4 linked regions of the Drosophila melanogaster genome follow. The protein of the gene in region 2 interacts with the protein of the main gene of each other region in a pairwise test. Each region holds a gene or a part of one and is shown on either strand. Other genes may lie near its edges. The genes, in order: Cwc25, CG3294, RAF2 and CG9213.

What was found.
Region 1: the proteins of CG3294 (region 2) and Cwc25 interact in a two-hybrid assay, tested with the Drosophila melanogaster proteins (one large-scale study listed by BioGRID).
Region 3: the proteins of CG3294 (region 2) and RAF2 interact in a two-hybrid assay, tested with the Drosophila melanogaster proteins (one large-scale study listed by BioGRID).
Region 4: the proteins of CG3294 (region 2) and CG9213 interact in a two-hybrid assay, tested with the Drosophila melanogaster proteins (one large-scale study listed by BioGRID).

Annotation. Positions count from the first base shown.
Region 1 is NT_033779.5:2,743,350-2,747,487, forward strand, and holds Cwc25 (Cwc25), read left to right. Parts: upstream 1-1,748; 5' UTR 1,749-1,849; coding exon 1,850-1,867; intron 1,868-1,922; coding exon 1,923-2,145; intron 2,146-2,207; coding exon 2,208-3,532; 3' UTR 3,533-3,595; downstream 3,596-4,138. Other genes in the region: CG9961 (uncharacterized protein), read right to left, coding at 109-1,188, 1,255-1,363, 1,418-1,575; Pgk (phosphoglycerate kinase), read right to left, coding at 3,663-3,903, 3,962-4,138.
Region 2 is NT_033779.5:4,792,999-4,797,235, forward strand, and holds CG3294 (uncharacterized protein), read left to right. Parts: upstream 1-1,659; 5' UTR 1,660-1,673; coding exon 1,674-1,687; intron 1,688-1,754; coding exon 1,755-2,573; intron 2,574-2,844; coding exon 2,845-2,948; coding exon of another isoform or gene 2,949-2,956; exon of another isoform or gene 2,957-2,977; intron 2,978-3,064; coding exon 3,065-3,221; intron 3,222-3,288; coding exon 3,289-3,565; 3' UTR 3,566-3,583; downstream 3,584-4,237. Other genes in the region: fipi (factor of interpulse interval), read right to left, coding at 640-682; slf (schlaff), read right to left, coding at 4,078-4,237.
Region 3 is NT_037436.4:16,384,554-16,391,491, forward strand, and holds RAF2 (RING-associated factor 2), read left to right. Parts: upstream 1-1,773; 5' UTR 1,774-2,017; intron 2,018-2,072; 5' UTR 2,073-2,083; coding exon 2,084-2,403; intron 2,404-2,467; coding exon 2,468-4,795; intron 4,796-4,851; coding exon 4,852-5,067; intron 5,068-5,125; coding exon 5,126-5,324; intron 5,325-5,382; coding exon 5,383-5,631; intron 5,632-5,748; coding exon 5,749-5,790; 3' UTR 5,791-6,263; downstream 6,264-6,938. Other genes in the region: Agpat3 (1-Acylglycerol-3-phosphate O-acyltransferase 3), read right to left, coding at 875-901; CG44836 (uncharacterized protein), read right to left, coding at 6,569-6,799, 6,924-6,938.
Region 4 is NC_004354.4:15,571,576-15,576,668, reverse strand, and holds CG9213 (uncharacterized protein), read left to right. Parts: upstream 1-2,133; 5' UTR 2,134-2,170; coding exon 2,171-3,382; intron 3,383-3,436; coding exon 3,437-4,159; intron 4,160-4,223; coding exon 4,224-4,352; 3' UTR 4,353-4,593; downstream 4,594-5,093. Other genes in the region: CG42299 (uncharacterized protein), read left to right, coding at 1,006-1,060, 1,119-1,612; CG15643 (uncharacterized protein), read left to right, coding at 5,004-5,093.

The sequences.
Region 1 (4,138 bases), 2.0 Mb from region 2:
CACAATAAAAATAACTTTGTATTTTGAGAGACTGATTGTTTAAATTGTCCAAATTGAATTTAAGATACATGTACATATAAGTGGAATAACCATTGTAAAGCAGTGCGTTTAGGCATCCGAAAGAGCAGCCACTCCAGGCAGAACCTTACCCTCCAGCAACTCCAGGGAAGCTCCTCCACCGGTGGACACATGCGAGACCTTGTCGGCGCCTCCGAACTTCAAGCAAGCGGTGGCCGTATCCCCACCACCAACGATTGTGGTGGCTCCTCGGTTAGTGGCCCCGATTACTGCCTCCAGCATGGACTCGGTGCCTTTGGAGAATAGCTCGTTTTCGAACAAGCCTGGCGGTCCGTTCCAGACGATGGTTTTGGATGCACAAATAGCGCCAGCAAACATCTGACTGGATGCCTGGCCGTGGTCCAGACCCATCATGTCCTCCGGTATGCCCTGTGTGGCATCCACATGTTCCACTTTATCCGGCTCCTTGTCGATCTTATTGGCTATGACAAAGTCAATCGGAAATAGTATATTCACGTCCTTCTCCTTCGCCTTGCAGACTATGTCGTTGACCAACTCGGATCCCTTCTCGTCGAAGAGGGACTTTCCAATCTCCATGCCATTGAGCACTTTGAGAAAGGTGAAGGCCATGCCACCGGATATGATCATGGCCGTTACATTGTTCAGGAGGTTCGTTATCAGTGGAATTTTATCGGCTATCTTGGCGCCACCCAGAATGGCCAAAAAGGGCTTGGCCGGATCGTGGAGAACCTTGGCAAAGTACTCCAGTTCCTTGTCCAGCAGGAAACCAGCCGCTCGCACCTTGTAGCCATCGCCCATCATGGAACTATGCGGACGATGTGCTGTTCCAAAGGCATCGTTCACATAGATCTCGCCCAGCTGCGCCAACTTGGCTCGGAATTCCTTCACCTTCGCGGGATCTGCTTTGACCTTCTTCTTGTTATCGTCCTTGCTGCTGCCCGTCTCCTCGGCATAGAAACGAAGATTCTCCAACAGGAACACAGTGCCGTCGGAGGGATCCTTCAAAGCTCTCAGGGTGCTATCACCCACGCAGTCGTCCAGGAATTGAACCGGCTGGCCCAGCACACTCTCCAGCTCCTTGGCCACGGGTTCCAGGCTAAACTTTTTGTTCTTTTTGCCATCCGGACGCCCCAAGTGGGATGCCAAAACCTAGGCAAAAAATTAAGTTATTCGTTCTATACTTTTTAGGAATTGAAGGAAGATATATCAACTCACCAAGGACTTACATTTCTTGTCCAAGGCATATTTAATACTGGGAAGTGCGGAAACAATTCGTTGGTTGTTGGTTATTTTGCCATCTTTCATGGGTACATTAAAGTCCACTCTAAAAATAAATTTATAAATCACACACTAAAACATATCTGGCAAGGATACTCACCTCATAAAAACCCTTTTCCCAGCCACATCTACATTTTTTAAGCTCAACTTCTTTACTTGCTTTCCATTGCAATCGTCTTTGCTAAAAAATCTTGGAAATCTTAATTTTGTAAATCGAGTTTGAGCTCTTTGGTATAAACTCTGCCGAATTGGAAGCATATTAAATAAATTTATTACCTGTTTTTGACTGAAAATACAATGCACGATGAGGAAGTAATTATGAAAATAAGTAACTAAATTAACTATTTTCAATAATTTTCGAAAAAGTAAAAGAAAAATGTAACCCTATGGCAACACCAAGTTAAATTACTTCACCACGATCTGGCAGCCCGGGCGAACATATGATTTTGTTGAAAACAACAGAAAAGGAGGGAAAATCTGGAATTGTTTGTAATTTGTTTGTTTTGCTGTTAAAACGCAAATCAAACCCAAGATGGGTGGCGGAGATCTAGTAAGTAATGTCTCCCAACTGATTATCCGTCAATTACCATTGATTTTTCCCGCAGAATCTGAAGAAATCATGGCATCCGCACACGATGAAAAACCAGGAGCGCGTTTGGAAGGCGGAGGAGCAAGCGAAGATGGAGGAGCGCAAGCTGCAGGATCTGCGCAAGGAGATCAACGAGGAGCGGGACAGAGAGGAACTAAGGCGATTGGGCGAAAGTTCCGGAGTGCTGAGCAATAATGGCGGAGCCGCCGGCGAGGCCAAGCTGGAGTGGATGTACAAAAGTGAGTCATACATGTGAAACTCTTATAAAACTCATTATCCATACATATTTATCTTGCTCCAGACAGCACAGAGCTGATCAACCGCGAGGAGTACCTCCTGGGCCGTAAGATCGACAAGTCCTTTGAGACGCTGCAAGCGGAGGAAAGCCGCCAGGAGCAGAACACAGTGGGTCTCAAGCAAACGATCAACCATGTGGAGCACGACTGTGTGCCCTTCTCCATCCGGACCTACCGCAATGTGCAGTCCAACGAACAGGTGGACATACAGCGCAAGACCCTCGAGGATCCCCTGATGCTCATCAAGCAGCGCGAAATGGAATCCCGTCGAAAGCTGCTTGAGAACCCCGTCAAGCTGAAGGAAATCCATCGCATTCTCAAGACTGAACAGGAACAAAAGGCCGCAGAGGGAAAGAAGAAGAACAAGAAGAACAAAAAGTCTAAGAAATCCAAAAAGAAGAAGAAGAACCGACGATCCAGCAATGAGGAAAGTAGTGACAGCGAGAGCAATGATAGCGACGATGACTTGGACAGAAAATTAGCCCGCCAAGTGAGCAAACTCAAGGGAGACCAAGGTGACCTTAAACTGGACAAGCTGCTGGACGCCAAGTACCGCACCATTTCAAATCAATTAGACATGGCCACCAAGAAGAAAAAGAGCAAGAAATCCAAGAAGAAGAAAAGCAGCGATAGCAGTGACGAAAGTAGTGACGAAGAGGAAGAGCCAAGGAGAAAGCACAAAAGGAGCCACAGCTCAGAGGACAGAAATCAGCGAGAAAGACGCAGGAGTAGAAGCCCCCGGGATAGAAAAAAGCGACAGAGTAGAAGTCCGGAACAAAGGCAAAGGCAAAGGAGTCCAGAAGAGAGAAGGGAAAGGCGCAGGAGCAGGAGCAGAAGTCCCTTAGCGAGAAGACAGAGAAGAACCAGGAGCCCAGAGGACAGAAAAGCCAGACGTCAAAGCAAGGACACTTCAAAGCAGCGCGAGAAACGCAGGAGTAGGACACCTGAAGAGCGTTCCAGATCAAAACGCAGCAGGAGCCGAAGTTCCAAAGGAGATGACAAGCGAAGGATTGCCGAAAGACCGCCTCCCAGCCGTCCCACCGGCAAGCCAAAGTTAAGCGAAGCCGACCGAGAAGCTCGCCTGCGCGAAATGATGGACAACGCCACTTGGAGAGAAGCGGATCGCAGCCAGGTGGTTCGCAAGCACCGAGAAGCATACGCGCGCGAGGAGGCCCAAAATCGTGAACGAGACTTCGACAAGGAGTTCATTAACAAGGAGGTGAAGAAGGCCATTGCCAACCATAACTCAATTGGCGATCGCATCCGGGCCAATCTCAACAACATACAGCGCACCGCCTCCTCAATGGACAGCAACTTTGCCCGCAAATAAACTAGGATTCCTTTATTTCGTATGCATTATATGGTTCCGCAACAAATAGATTCAACACTTTTTAACGTCGTGGTTTGTGCTTACAAGGTAAACGATGCGATTAACATTAATATACCGTATATATGTACGCTTAGGCGCTGGTCAATGCAGCCACGCCTGGCAGTGTCTTGCCCTCCAGGAGCTCCAGCGAAGCGCCGCCTCCGGTGGAGACGTGCGAGACGAGTGCCTCCGTGTTCCACTTGGCGCAGCAAGAGGCAGTGTCGCCGCCGCCGATGATGGAGACGGTGCCGTTCTTGGTGGCGGCCACCACGCCGTCCATGATGGACTTGGTGCCGTTGGCGAAGTTGGGGAACTCAAAGACACCGGGGGGTCTAAAATGGGAAAACCATTATAGGACATTTGGAGAAGTAGCTTCAGTGTGACACCTACCCGTTCCACACGATGAGCTTGGCGCGTGCGATGGGTGCCGCGAAGAGCTCACGGGTCTTGGGACCCACATCCAGACCCATGTGTCCATCGGGAATTCCGGCCTCCACGGTGGCCTCGCTGACGGCAGCGTTCTCGGCGAACTTGTCGCCGCAGACAAAGTCCACTGGCAGATGCAAC
Region 2 (4,237 bases):
ACAATGTGCCAGCATCGATTTTCTATTAGCCACGAGACACTTGAGCCACAAAACTAAATACAGAGGGCAAATATTGATAAATACGTAACGACACGACGACGACGAGGAAGACGGAAAACCACAACAACCACATTATGAATACTACTAAAGCTCGTAACTGTCCATCGACCAGACAAGAACATAATAAACACCGTTCATGGGTCCGAAAATAAAACGCAGAACGTAACTCGGAAGAGGTCGCCACATCCTCATCCCCATCCACATCCCCTCCAGAACTCGATGACCACCTCAGCCAATGTAACACTAGAGCAACAAATGCGGTCAAATCGTTTATTATTGAAAATTAAATGCCCCTTTTAGGCGTACAGAAAAAAATTGTAAGTAAAGAACATATTGTTTTAATTTGCGATATATGTTCTTCTTTCTTTAAGTTTATATTTAAGTTATTTAATTGCATTTCAATAAGTGATGGTTACAAAAATCTACTATTACAACTAATATAGCATCTATGGATTGATAGCATCAAATCCAAAAATATTGTTTTCTAAATATCCCTTAATTGCTAGCTTTAGAATCAGGCTATTTTATGTATTTAGATAACATTTGTTTTCTTTTTCTCCCAGTGTAAGAACCACTTACCTGTTAGGGCTGCCAAATTCAGAATAAATCCAATTAGCCGCATTGCGAGAATCTCAACGAATATGAATTTGAATTCCTGTGGTTACTACACAAAAAACCGTGAATATGCTTGCGACCTGATTACGAGTTCAAAGTGCCAGCGGCGCGAATTATTTCATTTATCTAATATCAAGTTGTGCCGCGAGAATTCACATCAATTGTTTTGACTTAGTTTCGCACAACTCAGTTGGTTTTCCGTGAGCCAAGCTCGGCGATTCGGCGCTTGAGCCGGAGTCCAAATTCCGGACTTCGGATTTCGGAGCCGAGCGCAAAAGGAGAGCTCAGAGAGAAAGCCAGGAGAAAGGCTTTCTCTGGCGACACGAAGTGTAGGTGAACCGACGCGCACGAATTTTACTTTATCACTGAATTTGATTTTTTTTCGCATCTTCGGCAATCGCCGGACACAATGTTGCTGGCAACATTGTTGCAGAGGGGAATTTTCGAGTTCGAAAGTTTCTGGTTCGATGGAAGGGGGAATTGAGAAAAAGCTTGAATAAACGGTTCAATTCAAAATATACAAATCTGATAAACAAGAAAATATTCAAACTAAGCGCTTCTATTAAATTTTAAAAGCTCTTCGACACAGTGCTATAAAAATCACATAACATAATTTATAGCAGTGTAAGTTGAACTGAGGCTTTTGGCATTGTGCTATACAGCAATGTTATTTTACATTTTATAGCAAGAACGAAACTTGGTGTTATATTAGACTGTTATAATTTATAATAAATTTTGAATTACAAAAATCGTAAGAATTCGTAAATTTTAAACATTTATGATATGAAATCTTAATTTTGAGGGAAAACTTACAAAACATTTTTGATTTGCCAGATTTATGAAAACTTTGAAAAATATGTAAATGTAAAAATGTAATTTTTTTCGTGCTGCAGTATTTTGTGGTATTTTTCATAGACCCTGTACACGGTATTAATCAGCTGTGTTCTCACAAATGCGTTTCAGCTGCTCACCGAAATTCAATGTTTTGATTTTGCGAAATGCCGGGAAGGAAGTAAATAACTATAAATTTGTTTAAATATAATGTATAATTTAATTTAATGTATATAATTTATACAAAGGGCACGGCGAAAGTTAATCAAGAAGCAGCAGAGGAAGCGGCGTCGTCAAAAACATGCCAAAGAACGTGATAAACTGGAGGAAGAGGCGGAAAACCAAAGACTTATGCAGCCGGAGTACCAGAAATGGTCGCAGGAACAGGAGGAAATGCAGGAATTCCAACGACTAGCCGACGAACGGGAGCGCCAGTTGGCGGAGGAGTCCTGGCTGCGACGCGAAGCCACAGCGCAGCGACAATTCCAAATGGACGAGGCGAAGAAGCGTCAGGAGCAGGAGGAAGTGGAGCGTTTGCAGCGGGAACAGGCGAAAGAGCGGGCGGAACGGGAGGAGAGACAGCGGAAGCAGCGCGAGGAAGAGACACGAAAAGCCGCCAAGGCTGCCGCCGAATTCGATGCCATGATGGAGAGCATGGATGAGTATCTGAACAACCCGCGTATCGAGAAGCCACCCAGCCACCTTCTGCGTGTAATGGAGACGCATCCGGAGGAACGAGCCTGCGAGTTCTTTAGCCGCACCAACTGTTGCCGCTACGGTCACGCCTGCACCTTCAACCATCGCCGCCCGATGCTGGGAAGGATCCTTCTCATCCGGCACTTCTTCAACCATTCCATGCTGCAGAAGCGATGCACGCACAAGGAGTACGCCTCGGCGGAGGAACACCTGGAATTGACCGAACAGGATCTGCGCCACGACTACGATGAGTTCTTCAACGATGTCGTCGAAGAACTGAGAAAGTTCGGCACCATTGTCAACTTCCGCACGGTGCGCAATACGCTGGAACACCTCAGGGGTCACGTCTTTGTGGAGTACACAAACGAACGGTTTGTCTGAGAGTATTAATTATCATTATTATTATTTAATTAATATGACATTGTTTATATGCAAGCAATTCGGATATTCAAATGCAGCCTATTTCCCAGCATTTTCATGTAAAAGTTAATTCATATAATTCACAATTTTAATTTATACCTGTTCTCTCGCCAAAAAATATATATATTGTATTGTCTCTGCGCTTGCATACTTTTATGTTATGTTAATAATGTCTAAAGAGGTCATAAACTAATTATTATAAAGCGTACGTCATGATTTCAGATCTGCACTTCGCGCATTTACCAATCTCCAAGGTCGCTACTACGCCTCCAAGCGACTAAACGTGGAGTTCTCCAATCTGAGGACCTGGCGCGGCGCAGTCTGCGGTACGTGAACTGCATGCCAAGAGGAAGCCGTATCCTTTAAAAAACCAAAACTCAAAGCAAGCCCATTCATATGTTTTAATACCATTTTCTTTAACACAATCTGTGACTTCTTAAAGGTTTGTCCTTAACACGTAAATGTCCCAAAGGTAACGACTGCGGCTATCTGCACCTGTTTGGCAATCCGAACAACCTGTTCAACACGGAACTGGAGTACACCAGCGGTCCACGCAGTGAACGACGCTCCAGCCAAACTCCAACGGCCAAGACACCCAGGTGGATTTAAATATAATATTAGTTTATATTCCGGCAAACTATTTAAATACTTTCCCTATCTCTTCAGTTGGGATGAGCACAGCGAGCACGGCAGGAACTGGCGCTGGTCGGCAAGCCCCGAGGTTGAACTGGAAAACTCCAAGGACTTGGGCAACCGAGGTCGGGATCTCAAAAACAACCAACAGCGGAATCATCATTCCAGGTCAAGAAGTGACCGGAGTTCCGTGCGCTCTAAAAGAGAGCACAGCTCCTCGGGATCTTCACATGACGATCGCAGATCAAAGAGGCATCATCATCATCACAACTCCACAACACCCGATCATCAGCACAACCATTGCCAATAAAAACCAAAGTATTAATTCAAGTGTTTTCTTTTTTATGGGATCTTTACAAAATTTTATTCAATCTCTTTGTGGACAAAACATGAGTGTCTCAAACAAAATACTAAAGAGATTCCGAATTTCTTGCTTGAATGACAGACAGTGGGTCAGAGCGAAACACTTGCAATTTAGGATTGCCTATAAATATTTAAGGTGCGATCTGAAAACGACTCAACTGTTTACAACGGAATAGAATTCTACGCGTAAAATTGGCAGTTTCGAAGGTAGGGAGGAAGGAGAAGTGAGACTAAGTGCTGGGTGCTAAGGTGTGATGAAAGCAGTATTGTGGATTTGGTGGGTGGGTGGTTTTGTGGTGTTTGTAGGATCGGAAATTGTAAATTCTAAAGTCTATTTGTCTTGCTTTCTTCCGTTTTCGTCGTACACATACAAACAAAAATTATACAAAAACTCGTTTAAGGAATATTATAATAAGTAGCTTTAAAATTAGGCAAACAGCGAACGCCCAGCGAGCCGCTCTATAGACGGATGCCGGGATTCGTGGCCGCCACATAGCGCAGCAGCTCCTCGTTGTCCTCACAGATGACGGGCTTCTCGTGGTAGCAGGCCACGTCGTGCCAGGCGATGCCATCGTTGTACACGTTGTTCAACACGGACAGGCACTGCTCCTTGGTCTGG
Region 3 (6,938 bases), on a different chromosome or scaffold from region 2:
ACGGATAGTCATTATGGGGCAGATACTCGCACTTCACAGTGGAAGCTCGCGAAAGTCAATAATCTTTAGAATGAGTGGGTTTATGGGGACCAAAGTGTGCAAACAGTTTAGCAAAAAATTGATGACAGTTAGGTGTCATTTTTTACATTTTGTACATGGAGATGTTTTAAAAAAGTACTAAAGTTTTACGACCGTTTTAATTATGAGTAAAAACGACAACTTTAAAACTTTAAACTAATTAAATCATTTCATTAAGGCGTTTAGCTATTCATATTTCTTATTAAATAATACTTGGCTTCGGATATTTTAGATATTTCAATTTAAGCAAATTTAAATAAGTTTCGAAACGATTTTCGGATTTTAAATAAACTAAAGTAATAGGTATTATATATTGAGATTATTATTTAAATGATCATGATTTACTTAAATTATGATTTAAAACATGTCAGCGGATAAAGTTTATCAAAGAAGTTTTTATTTGTATTTCTACAAAGTTATAAACAATGGTTGTAAAACGACCAATGATAAAGGTCAATCTTTTGTTTTGACACGTAATATAAAACTGGGACTGCATATATTTACATGCACAATGGAACGCACTACGTTTTTGTAATAGAAATGAATGCATTCAGTTGACAAGCACTGCTTTTTTTAAATTTCTTATTTCTTCCTATGATAATGGGATTTAAATCCAATGAAAAAAGGAGTACTTTTCATGCCATTTCTTATGCACACCGCCATTAGCTGAATCAACCGAAAATTCGCCGGGCCGAATTGATTGTATTTTTGATGCACTCAATTGGTGACCCCGACGTTGATTGCTGAACCCATTGTATTGAATTAGTTTACTTTTTCGATCGTCCACTTTACATACAACAAAAGAGTTCTTGTGCACGACCATGCGATTGTGTGCGTGTGAGCATGCATATACGTATGCATGTGCTCAGCTGGCGCACGTGTGCGAGTGTGTGTGTTTGGGAGAGGCGTGGGGTGGCGTGACGTGGTTAACATTTATGGTTATCAGTTCGCGATCTGCAAGGCAATAGCCACCCACAAACGATCAATAAACAAAGTCCTATTTAAAGGTATGTCTATCTGCAGCTGCGCCGTTCTTATCGGTTATTCCCTGTTACGCATATGCACATATATATACAGACACTGTCGGTCGTGCCCTTTGTTTACGAGTGTCACTGGGCGGGAATCGGTTGCTAAACACTGGTCACTACTATATGGTTATCACTCGGCGGCGTCGTGCCCGCCATTTACCTTTTTGGCAATGTTTTTGTGCGAATTGATTTGTTTTCTTTTGTAAGCCAAACGGTATGACCGTTCGAGTGCAATGACGATGACACCGGTGAACAAACGGAAAATCGCCACTTTTGCCTTTAGTATTTTTCAATATTTAATATTTGCCACCAGGGCTGTCAGGTTGCAATGTTGTAAAGGAAATCTGAATAATTTGGCTAACGATCTGCACTACAACTTATAGCTTATTAATGATTGATTTTTGATCTACGCTAACTTTTCCATAAATCAAAAAATGAAACTCTAGTGAGTAACTTATTCTAATATAGTTATTTGGTTTTTAGATATGAAATGACCGAATACCCCGAAACTAGTAATATTTAATAAGATTACTAGATTACTTTAATTTAATAAGATTAAAAATTTGTTTGCTTGGTTTACCTAACTAAGAACTAGTTGGAAGAACATATTTTATTCAGTATTATTTAAAGACTTTCCCAAAAGTGGTTACCCTATTGGTTTGCGTCCATACTAAATGCCTGTCAAAATTATTCGCAGAATTGAACGGCGAATTTTTTTTCGCATTTGGAAATTGGATTTTTGCTGAAAGTAAACGCTTTAAAACTGGTATAAACCCGAATTAGCCTATTTGGGGACTTGGGCCATTGTTTTAAGTGGTTTTCAGCAACTGAAAAGGTGAGCCCGTCGGCGGATTAGAATATTCAACCGGCAGACGATTTTTTGTTGGCCAAAAATTTGCAGACGTGAGCGCGTGAGTTTTTGAGGGGGTTAATGCCAAAAGATGTACATACCTGACCGTCGTCCAGTTGCAGGCCTAATGTCCAACGAGATCTACGACTCCTCCAATTCGCAGCTAAGTAGCGACGAGTATAGCCACGAGGAGGAGGAATACGACGCTCTAATGGACGCGGCGGTGAGCAAGCAACGACCCCAAAAGACAAAATCCAAGGGATCCGAGTCCGAGAAACCCGGAAATGGAGCTCCAGAATCGGCGGCTGCCACTGAGAAAAATGAAAAGCCAGATGACGATGCGGTGCCACCTTCCACGCGCTCAGAAACAATTCGGCGGATCCGGCAATTGCAGTTACAGCGTGGCAGGCTGCCCAATCTTTACTTCAAGCGTCGCAGTATTCGTTGGTAAGGCTTACTTCCCAAAGAACCTACTGAAACTGTAATCCTATCTTATCCGATCACACTTCAGGCTGCGACCCAATAAAATGGACTACAACAGCTATTTTGACGGCCTGAAGGACTTGCTGCCCAAGCGTAAATTGAAGCACCTGGTTCGCTTCCATGACAGGCAGCGCAGAACCTACGACAGCAGGAGCATCAGTCGTAGTCGCAGCCACAGCCGCAGTCTTAGCCGAAGTTGCAGTCGCAGTCGTAGTCGTAGCTATTCTCGCAGCCGCAGCGGCAGTGGTTCGCCGGAACTCATTTGCCTTGACGACACGGAGAACGAGGATTCGCCTGAGAAACCAGAGCAAGAGCCGGCAAGGGTTACGCCCATCAAGGAAAATAAGCCTACGCTTCCGGCTCCACCCCAACTAAACTACGAGCTGCCAGAAAGGAAGAAAGCAAACCCACTTGGAAACAACGAAAACGGTGCCTCTATCCTCGACGAGTTCCTGGTAAAGAAGGATCCCCAGGAACCGGTCTTCGACTACGGTAAACTCTCAGCGTGTCGGGAATTGGAACAGGCTCTAAAGGACCGGTCGCGAGATGCGCCAAATGAGGCAGAGTCGCTTGTGGTTGATGCCACTCTTAAAAGACGCCGTTCGGTAACACCGCCCGCTAGCGAAGAGAAGCGCAACAATGAAGTCGAGGATGATAATATAATTGGGTTTTCAACGGTGCAGCAACAGAAGCCAATGGAGGCAGCTCCACCATTAAATCTAAGAATGCCCACCACTCCATCGACTAATCCTCTTCAGCGTCAGCAGGCTTTTAAGCTGAGCACACCGTATACCCTGGCTCCGCCTACTGCCGCCAAGCAAGCTGACACTTACAGTTTAAATACTCCACCGCCAACGGCCACCCAAATGCAGATATCCTATCCCAACGAAAAGCTGTCAAATAACATGAAAGCTAATGCGACTTTCTCGATTCAACAGACAGCTTTATCCCAAGTCGCTGCATCCTATGCTGCTGCACCACAAGTGGCTGCCCTCGCGCAGAGAGCTCCATCTCAGGTTGCTCCACTACAACAAGCCCCCGTGCAACAGATGCACTTCCCAAGATCAGTTCCACCGCAGCAGCTTCCTCCACCACAGCAGCGAGCTCCTCCACAGCAACTGGCTACAGCTCCATTCGCTCCACCACGGCACCTGGCTCAACATAGACCATCTCCACAGCAGCTAGCTCCATCACAGCAGCTGGCTCCACCACACCAGCTAGCTCCACCACACCAGCTAGCTCCACCACAGCAGCGAGCTCCGCCACAGCAGCTAGCTCCACCACACCAGCTAGCTCCACCACACCAGCTAGCTCCACCACAGCAGCGAGCTCCGCCACAGCAGCTAGCTCCGCCACAGCAGCTAGCTCCACCACAGCAGCTAGCTCCACCACAGCAGCTAGCTCCACCACAGCAGCTAGCTCCACCACAGCAGCGAGCTCCGCCACAGCAGCGAGCTCCGCCACAGCAGCTGGCTCCGCCACAACAGCGAGCTCCCACACAGCATATGGCTCCACCACAACATATGGCTCCGCCACAGCAGCTAGCTCCAACACAGCAGCTAGCTCCTCCACCACAGCAGCTAGCGCCTCGACCACAGCAGCTAGCTCCTCCACCACAGCAACTAGCTCCTCCACCACAGCAGCTAGCTCCTCCACCACAGCAGCCAGATTCATCAAGACCAGCTTCGGTGCAGCCGTTGACCCCTCAAAGGCATGCTAGTCCACATCAGCTTGCCCAATCACAGCAGGTCCATCAATCGCCATCTCAACTGCATCCTGTTCCAGTGGCTGCTCCCAACTTTGCGGTGCCCCAACAGCCGCAACCCCGTCGATCGGAAACGGTGAGCACCCAGACGCAGGGCTTGGGGTCACCAGCGGCTTCTTCTTCGACAACCCGCCAAAAGTCATTCGTTGATCTCAATAATAGTGATGCAAACTTCCATTATCGCGTCAAAGAACTTTTCGATGAATTGAACTCGACAATGATTGATAAAATTAACTCGGTACCCCCTGATGAAGATTCATTGAAAAAAGAGCGCGAACGCATCGTTGCGGATCTTGCAGCCCTAGATAAGCTGATGGCCCAGAAAGAGGATGAATATAACCGACTGCTGTATTTGAGCTGCATTAAGAAGGAGCTGCATGAACGAATGGAGCGAAAGGAGCGCTTGATACGTATTAAGGACCTACTGCCCATCCTTATCAACAAGTGCGGCACCAAGGAGCTCAGTGAGGTAAAGGCTATGCTAGAAGAGGAAATCGATTCTCCAATGGCCTCCAAACATAGTTTGTCGGCAATTGAAAAATTACTGAATTACGCCGAGTTAAACCAGAACATCATACAGCTTCTGCGGGGGTAAATCTTTAAATGTTTAATTCTGAGAATCCCAAGTTAAAATTGATCGTTTTCAGTTCCTTGGGCTTAAATAAACGCGCACCGTCCGTGTCTCCGGCCAATTTCGAGGATGACCAAATGCTTTTTCGTAGAGATTCCTTGCCCGTAAGTCATCTATCAATGCGGGATCAGCATTACGAATCTCGGAATGCGGTAAATGACCATCTGCTAGATAGCAATCCAGACAGAGATCCGCCAGCCAAGCGACCGAAGCTAATCCACTCGCAAGACAGGTGAGAAAATACAAATAATATACTAGAACATATTATTTTAACGTCATATAATTTATAGTAACCAGGACATGGCAAGCTCCTCGACACATTTGTCAGCCAATCTTTCAGAGACGCTTCGCAAGATTAGGGCTTGGAAAAATTATTCGCATTTTAGTAACGTCTCAATGGAGGACAATAATTCGGATAATGAATCACAGATCGAACCGCTGTTCAACAGCAGTCCGATGGCCTCCCGTCGCCAACTGGCCAATAGACAGGTATGCACTTAATCACAATATTTTTTGACATTCCGCGAAAATAAATGTTTCTATTCAGTCCTACCAAGAACAACATTCCGCTAATATCAACGACCATGAGAATGTCCAAAAGAGGCACAAGTCTCACAAGCGCAAGTCGCATAAGCACAAGTCTCACAAGCATAGGAGCTCCCATAAGTCCCAGGCTGAATCTTCCGCCACCATCAACGGTAACACAGGTAGACAATGCCACGAGTGCAAGCTCTATGGAGCCACCTTTATGTGCTCCAACTGTCAGAATCAATGGTACTGCAGTCGTGAATGCCAGGTAAGCATTGTAGGATTTATTATGTATTTTATGCATTTTTTTAAATTGTTTTATCCAGTGACGCATTGAAGGAAAAGTACTCATGTTTACCTATCTTTTATAATACATTCGTTATAGCTGAGCGATTGGGACACACATCACCGAACTTGTGGCATTTAAATAGACTTCACTTAGGACATCAGCATTACTAAAACATAACTATATAGACGTATCGCATATGCACTACTATATATTTACTCAACCGTGTAACTCACTGAAGGACACAGGACACTGGCGGACCATTTTCAATTGCGTTTTATTGAATTAAGTGCTTGCAATTGTACTCAATCAATGAAGCACAATTTAAAGTGTAATATGCCTAGCTATTATAAGTTGGTAGGGATTAAATATAATAATTATAATTCCTTAATAATTGATTCCAATTTGCTTATGAACAACGCGCGAAATTCATTTTGTTTCAAAATCGTATTGATAAAATGTTCCTCGTTTTCCCACTTTTTTTGTTTGAAAATTAAATATCCTTGACTTCTTGTTTGCTACATAAAAGATATCTATTTAAGAATTAATATATTTATTTTCTGTTTCTTTGGATGTAATTCCATGCTAAAGGCAAAATAAACAAGTTCATATTTATTTACAAGCACTTATTATTTAATTTTTGGGAAGACTATTGAACCAAAAAGTATTAGTTCAACAAAATAAAGAAAATGATGAGACGTTTTAATACAATAATAGAAAGTGTTTTAAAATTGGTACTTATAAAATATAAAATTTTACCGTTTGCAGAACTGGTTGGCTTGGTCTATCGATAAATGGCGCCAAGTTTATTGTTCAAATTTCAAACAGAATTTTCTGTGAAATTCGACTAAACTTTGATAACATATAATTCGTATAATGGAATTTTTTCAGATCATTTAGGGCTTTGCCATCGCCTCATTTATTTACTGCGCCTGCGCACCTGGCACATCAGTTTGATGTCATTTATATGCAGCCGGAGTGGCTGCCTCCTGGACCACGGACCACGTCTCAGTTTCCGGATGCGCAGCTGCCGGCTGCAGTAGAGCCGGAATTTCAGATTCGGATTCCAGACGGCACCGGCCGAGGCGGAGGGCGTGACGCACTTGTAGGCATATTGCCACCATAATCGAATGCTCTGCTTGGTGCTGTGCTGGAATCGAAAGGGGATTGGATTCAATAAGTGTGGAAGGGTGTGTGTTTGTGTGTGGGGATGGCAGTAGTAAACATTATGGTGCACCCTAAAAGAAGGTATCCAACGGGGGAAACACACTCACCATGTAGACGGGCAA
Region 4 (5,093 bases), on a different chromosome or scaffold from region 2:
ATGGGCCAGCTGTTGGCGACTTGCGCTGGAAATCTCTACAAATAACGAAGAATCTATCGGGAGCGGTGAACGGAATAATGAAATCGGTGAGCTCTATGAAGAATCGTAGGACTTCATTGTTTCGTTTAGAAAACCTATCAACTTGTATGCGTAAAGCATTTTCTTGAAATGGTCATCTTAAAAATGCTGTGCTTTGCAAATAGTTAAGTATTATCCGCTCGGATATGTGAATCAACTGAGGTCCTCACGCCAAATTATAAATGTGACTTGTAGACTGCAAAGTCATCGCCTTCTTTTTTGAGTTCTTGACACAAGCAAAAAGGGTTGCCATGGCGTTGTCATGCCCTTGGAGATAAAACCTCTAGACTCAAATATTCTTATTATGTTCCGCTGACATAATAAGTATTAGTGTTTTTATTTCATAATAAATTATGCAATTTACAGCATCGGAAATTGGTAGCTTCAGTATAATATTATCAAATATATTCAGTTTTATACCCGTTACTCGTGAAAGGGTATAGTAGATTTGTTAAAAAGTATGTAACTGGCAGAAGAAAGCGTTTCCGACCATATAAAGTATATATATTCTTGATCAGGAACAATAGCCGAGTCGATCTGATCATGTCCGTATGAACGCCGAAATCTGAGGAACTATAAAAGCTAGAAGGTTGAGATTAACCATACAGATTCTAGAGACATAGACGCAGCGCATGCCCATATTGCCACGCCCACTCTAATGCCCACAACCCAACAAAATAAAATAAATAAAAAACTTCCCCATGTTCAAAATTCTACCGATCCGCCATCTGCACTAACTGACCGACGCTAACTCACCTACGCTAACTTGACGCACATCACGATTATTAACGGTTCTCAAAAGAACGATTACACCCTCGATAGGCTGCCTGTCGAAATTATCGGTCCTAGCTTAACCGAAGCGTCAGTCTTGACATTTCGATCTAAATATTCTGGATTTGCAATTTGAAAAGCGTCTGAATAAAATTTATGATCAAAATGGACCCGAAATCCCACCAAAAGCTCTTCAGGGAAATGGCAGAAGGTGAGCCATGTGACAAACCGAGACATCTTTAACATCTTTAAAACACACCCACCCACAGTCGTGTCCAATTCCAGCGATGACGGGGAGAAGTTGCTAACCAAAAACTCTAGCAACACCATCGAGAAGTCCGAGGAAGTCTGCAAGGAGCGCCCCGAAGCTGTGGAGCAGATGCGCATCGATGTCAATAACTCACTTGAGGACACGAACTACATGAATGCGGTGGAATCAGAAGCTCAAAAGAATATCGCCGGCCTTGATGAGGACCTTATCATGGAAGACTTCGGCGTCGAGGTCGTCCCGTTCCACGATCCCTGGTCCAAGCTCCTGATAAAGCACCCCGTGCGCAACAAAAGGTGCGGTCATATCTACGACCGCGAAACGGTTTTAATGATCATCAAGGACAACATTGGCATCCTATGCCCGGTGCGCGACTGTCCCAACTTGTCCGACATCAAGTTAGAGCACCTGGTCAAGGACCCCGACGTGGAGCAGGAGTTGCAAAAGCGCAAGTCCGACAAGATCAAGAATGAAACTTCCTCGGATGAGGACTAAGAACAGGCAGGTCATTAATTATATATAAAAAGCGCCTTTAAACTTTAGATTTTAATATGACTTCAAGTCTTGTTGAGAATTAACTTTATAAATAAAAAACACTCCTTTGGAATTTTTTGATACTTTTTTATACCCGTTGTAAAGTTAAAGGCTATACTAGAATTGTTGAAGTGTATGTAACAGGAAGATGGAAACGTTTCCGACCATATGAAGTATATATATTCTTGATTAGGATCAATAGCCGAGTCGATCTTTTCATGTCCGTATGAGCGCCAAAATTTCAGGAATTATAAAAGCTAGAAGGTTGAGATTCACCATACAGATTCTAAAATTAAAATTAAATTAAATTTATTAAATTTCGCTTTCGCATTCACACTAGCCGAGTAACGGGGAATTTGACTATATCATTCTCTCTTGTTGTATATTGCAATCAACTTTTCAATAGTGAGTTAAGCGATATGTCTGTTATTCAGTAGTGACTTAAGCGATATCACTGTTGTGCATATTTGTCCATCTCTAACACTAATGTTTTGGTAAACAAGAAGAACCAAATTAGACATGAGCTACATACAATTTGAAAGCGGCAGAGAAAAGGATAAGGCGCGCCAGGAGCTCCGGGAGGCCCGGGAGGCGATGCTGCAGCAGGCCAAGGAGCGGGCGGAACTGCGTGGGCAGCGGGAGAGGCAGAAGGAGCTGCGCGGCGAAGCCGACTGGATGCTGCCCGCGTTGGCCAAGAAACTGGAGAAGCCCGCCAAAAAGTCAAAGAAGAATGTTTCCAAGCACAAGTCCAGGTCCAAGTCCAAGTCATCGAAGAAGAGCAGGAAGCACCGCAACAGCAGCAGTAGCAGCGAAAGTTCCACTTCATCTTCCTCCTCGTTCAGTGAGGATGAAAAGGAGCGCAAGCGACGCAAGAAGAAGTCCAAGAGGAGCCGTAAGGAAAGCGCCAGCGAGGACGAGTGGGTGGAGGCTCCTCCGCCTCTCGCGGCGGACAATGTCACTAAGAAGGAGCCCCCTCAGCGGGACGACTGGATGACCAGCGAGTCTCTCCTTCTGAAGACGTTCTCCAGGGAACGCAAGGAGCCAGCGAAGCCCAACGAGAAGGCCCAACAAATTGATGCCTACGATCCGGCCAAGAGTGGCCGTGAGCTCAATCCCTACTGGAAGAGCAATGGCACGGGTCTGCCCGGTTTCCAGAAGCCACAGGACGACGATGAACGGCAGGCCAAGCCGCATTCCAGCAGCTCCGCACAGGGATCCTCACGCGGTTGGCGAAAACCAGGCGCAAAGGCTCCCAGTCCGCCCAGAAGAAGCAGATCCCGCTCCAAAAGTGCCACATCATCTGATGAGGAGGAGGAGGAGGCGGTGCAGCAGCCCAAGTCCAGACCATCCTGCCTCACAGACGAACAGATCAATGAGCTGGCCGGCAAGGCCATCAAGGCAGAGCTCAAAGGAAAGAAAGAACTGGCGGCGGAACTCAATCAGCAATTGGAGGCCGCACGGAAGGAGCGAGCAGAGTTCATTGCCTCCGGCGAGTCAGTGCGGAATGCAAATACCAGGCCAGCCAAGTCCAAGGCCTCAGCAGAGCACGTGCTGCTCACCAAGGTGGACCAGAGCGGCAACGTGCGTCCGCTGGTGCAGTCCGGCGATCCGAACGAATCGTACGGTGGCAGGATGGGACCAAAACGCGGCAGCAAGAAAGTGGACACCCACGTGGATGGTCAGCGTGTAAGATACTTTGCCGATGATGACCGCTACGATATTAAGCAAATGGTAAGTTCAACTTTCAAAAGCAAATACTAAATAGTAACATATTTTAACCTCCAGTTCGAGCGGGAAAAACACGCCACAGCCGCAGAAGTCAATCTCCAGTATGCCGACATTGTGTCCAAGCACAAGAATCCCAACGATGACTTGGATGACATATTCGCTGATAAGGTGCGCAAACAGATCTCAGCCAGCGATGCTGAAAAGCGGGAGATGCAGAGCGCCATTAGGGAGCACGAGAAACTGGTGGCCACGCTGGACAACTGCGAGCGGTGTTTTGACTCCGCCAAGTTGGACAAACAGCTGCTCGTTTCCCTGGGCGATAAGATCTATCTCAGTTTGCCGTGGTACATGGGCCTCCAGAGCGGTCACTGCATTCTGACGACCCTGCAGCATGTACCCTGCTGCACGCAACTAGACGAAGATGCCTGGGAGGAGATAAGCAACTTCCGTAAGGCACTCACCCGCATGTTCGCTGCCCGGCGCCAGGATGTCGTCTTCTACGAGATTGCCAACAAGCTGCACCGTCGGCCGCATCTCAGCGTCCACTGCATCCCAATTCCCGCCAGCCAAGGAGAGATGGCGCCCTTCTACTTCAAGAAAGCCATCGAGGAATCGGAGCAGGAGTGGTGCATCAACAAGCAGCTGGTCTCGCTGCGCCAGAAGTCCCTGCGGGCGGCCATTCCCAAGGGCCTGCCCTACGTATGGGTTCACTTCGGCATGGATTCGGGCTTCGCGCACGTCATCGAGGACGAGGATCGATTTCCGGCTAACTTTGCCCAGGTTCGTTGGCATTGCTTGCTCTTATTTGACTCATTTGTATGCTGATTGCACTATATACTTTCAGGAAATCCTCGGCGGAATGCTGGAGTTAAATCCCAATGCTTGGCGAAAGCCGCGAAAGGAGGCAAACCCCATCGGAAAGGTGAAATCCTTTGCTGAAAACTGGAAGAAATTTGATTGCACACAGAACTAGAAAAATGCATTGTAAAAATCAGATATCCCAAGATCATTTAAAGTCAGAAAAATGTAATATATATTTTTATATACATTAGAAAAACCGTTTCAATTTGCATTTTTTTTATAAAAATAAATTTCAAATTATGAAACGTCGATAGCACTAATCGATTTGTATTTCCCCCCGTCAGTATTTCGCAACACTGGTAAACAGCTGATTGAAATAAATAAATATTTAGGAATTTGTTTTTGTGCTTGCTAACGAATTTCGCTTCCATTTATTGCAAGAAAAAAAAAAAAAACAAAATAATACAAATAGAGGCATAGTGGGCCAGTAACTGATTGCACACCATGCTGCAACGCAGAGAAAAGAGAGCTCCCCCTTTCAATTTGAAGAGATCTTTTTCCAACGAGGAAGTTGCCTAGAAAAGTTCATCAACAATCCAGGAAAATTTCATCAGTTCAGTTCTGAGTGAAAAGTGCACCGACACTGCAACTGGATGTAATCACGATCAGCAGAAGTAGCTGAAGTCATCCGAGGAGTGACAGCACCCAATGCCCCAGTAGCATTCAAACTGAAAAATTCCCCGATTGTGGCCACTGCCATGTCCGTGTCCCAGGAGAATTACACCCGGCGGGAGCTGTGATGGAGCGCTAGGTATTGGCCAGGATGTGGCCAGCCGCCCTGACACGCCTGCTGAGACGCCGGATTGTGTACATCGTGCTGGTGGTACTGCTGCTCATCTACGGATTCGGACAC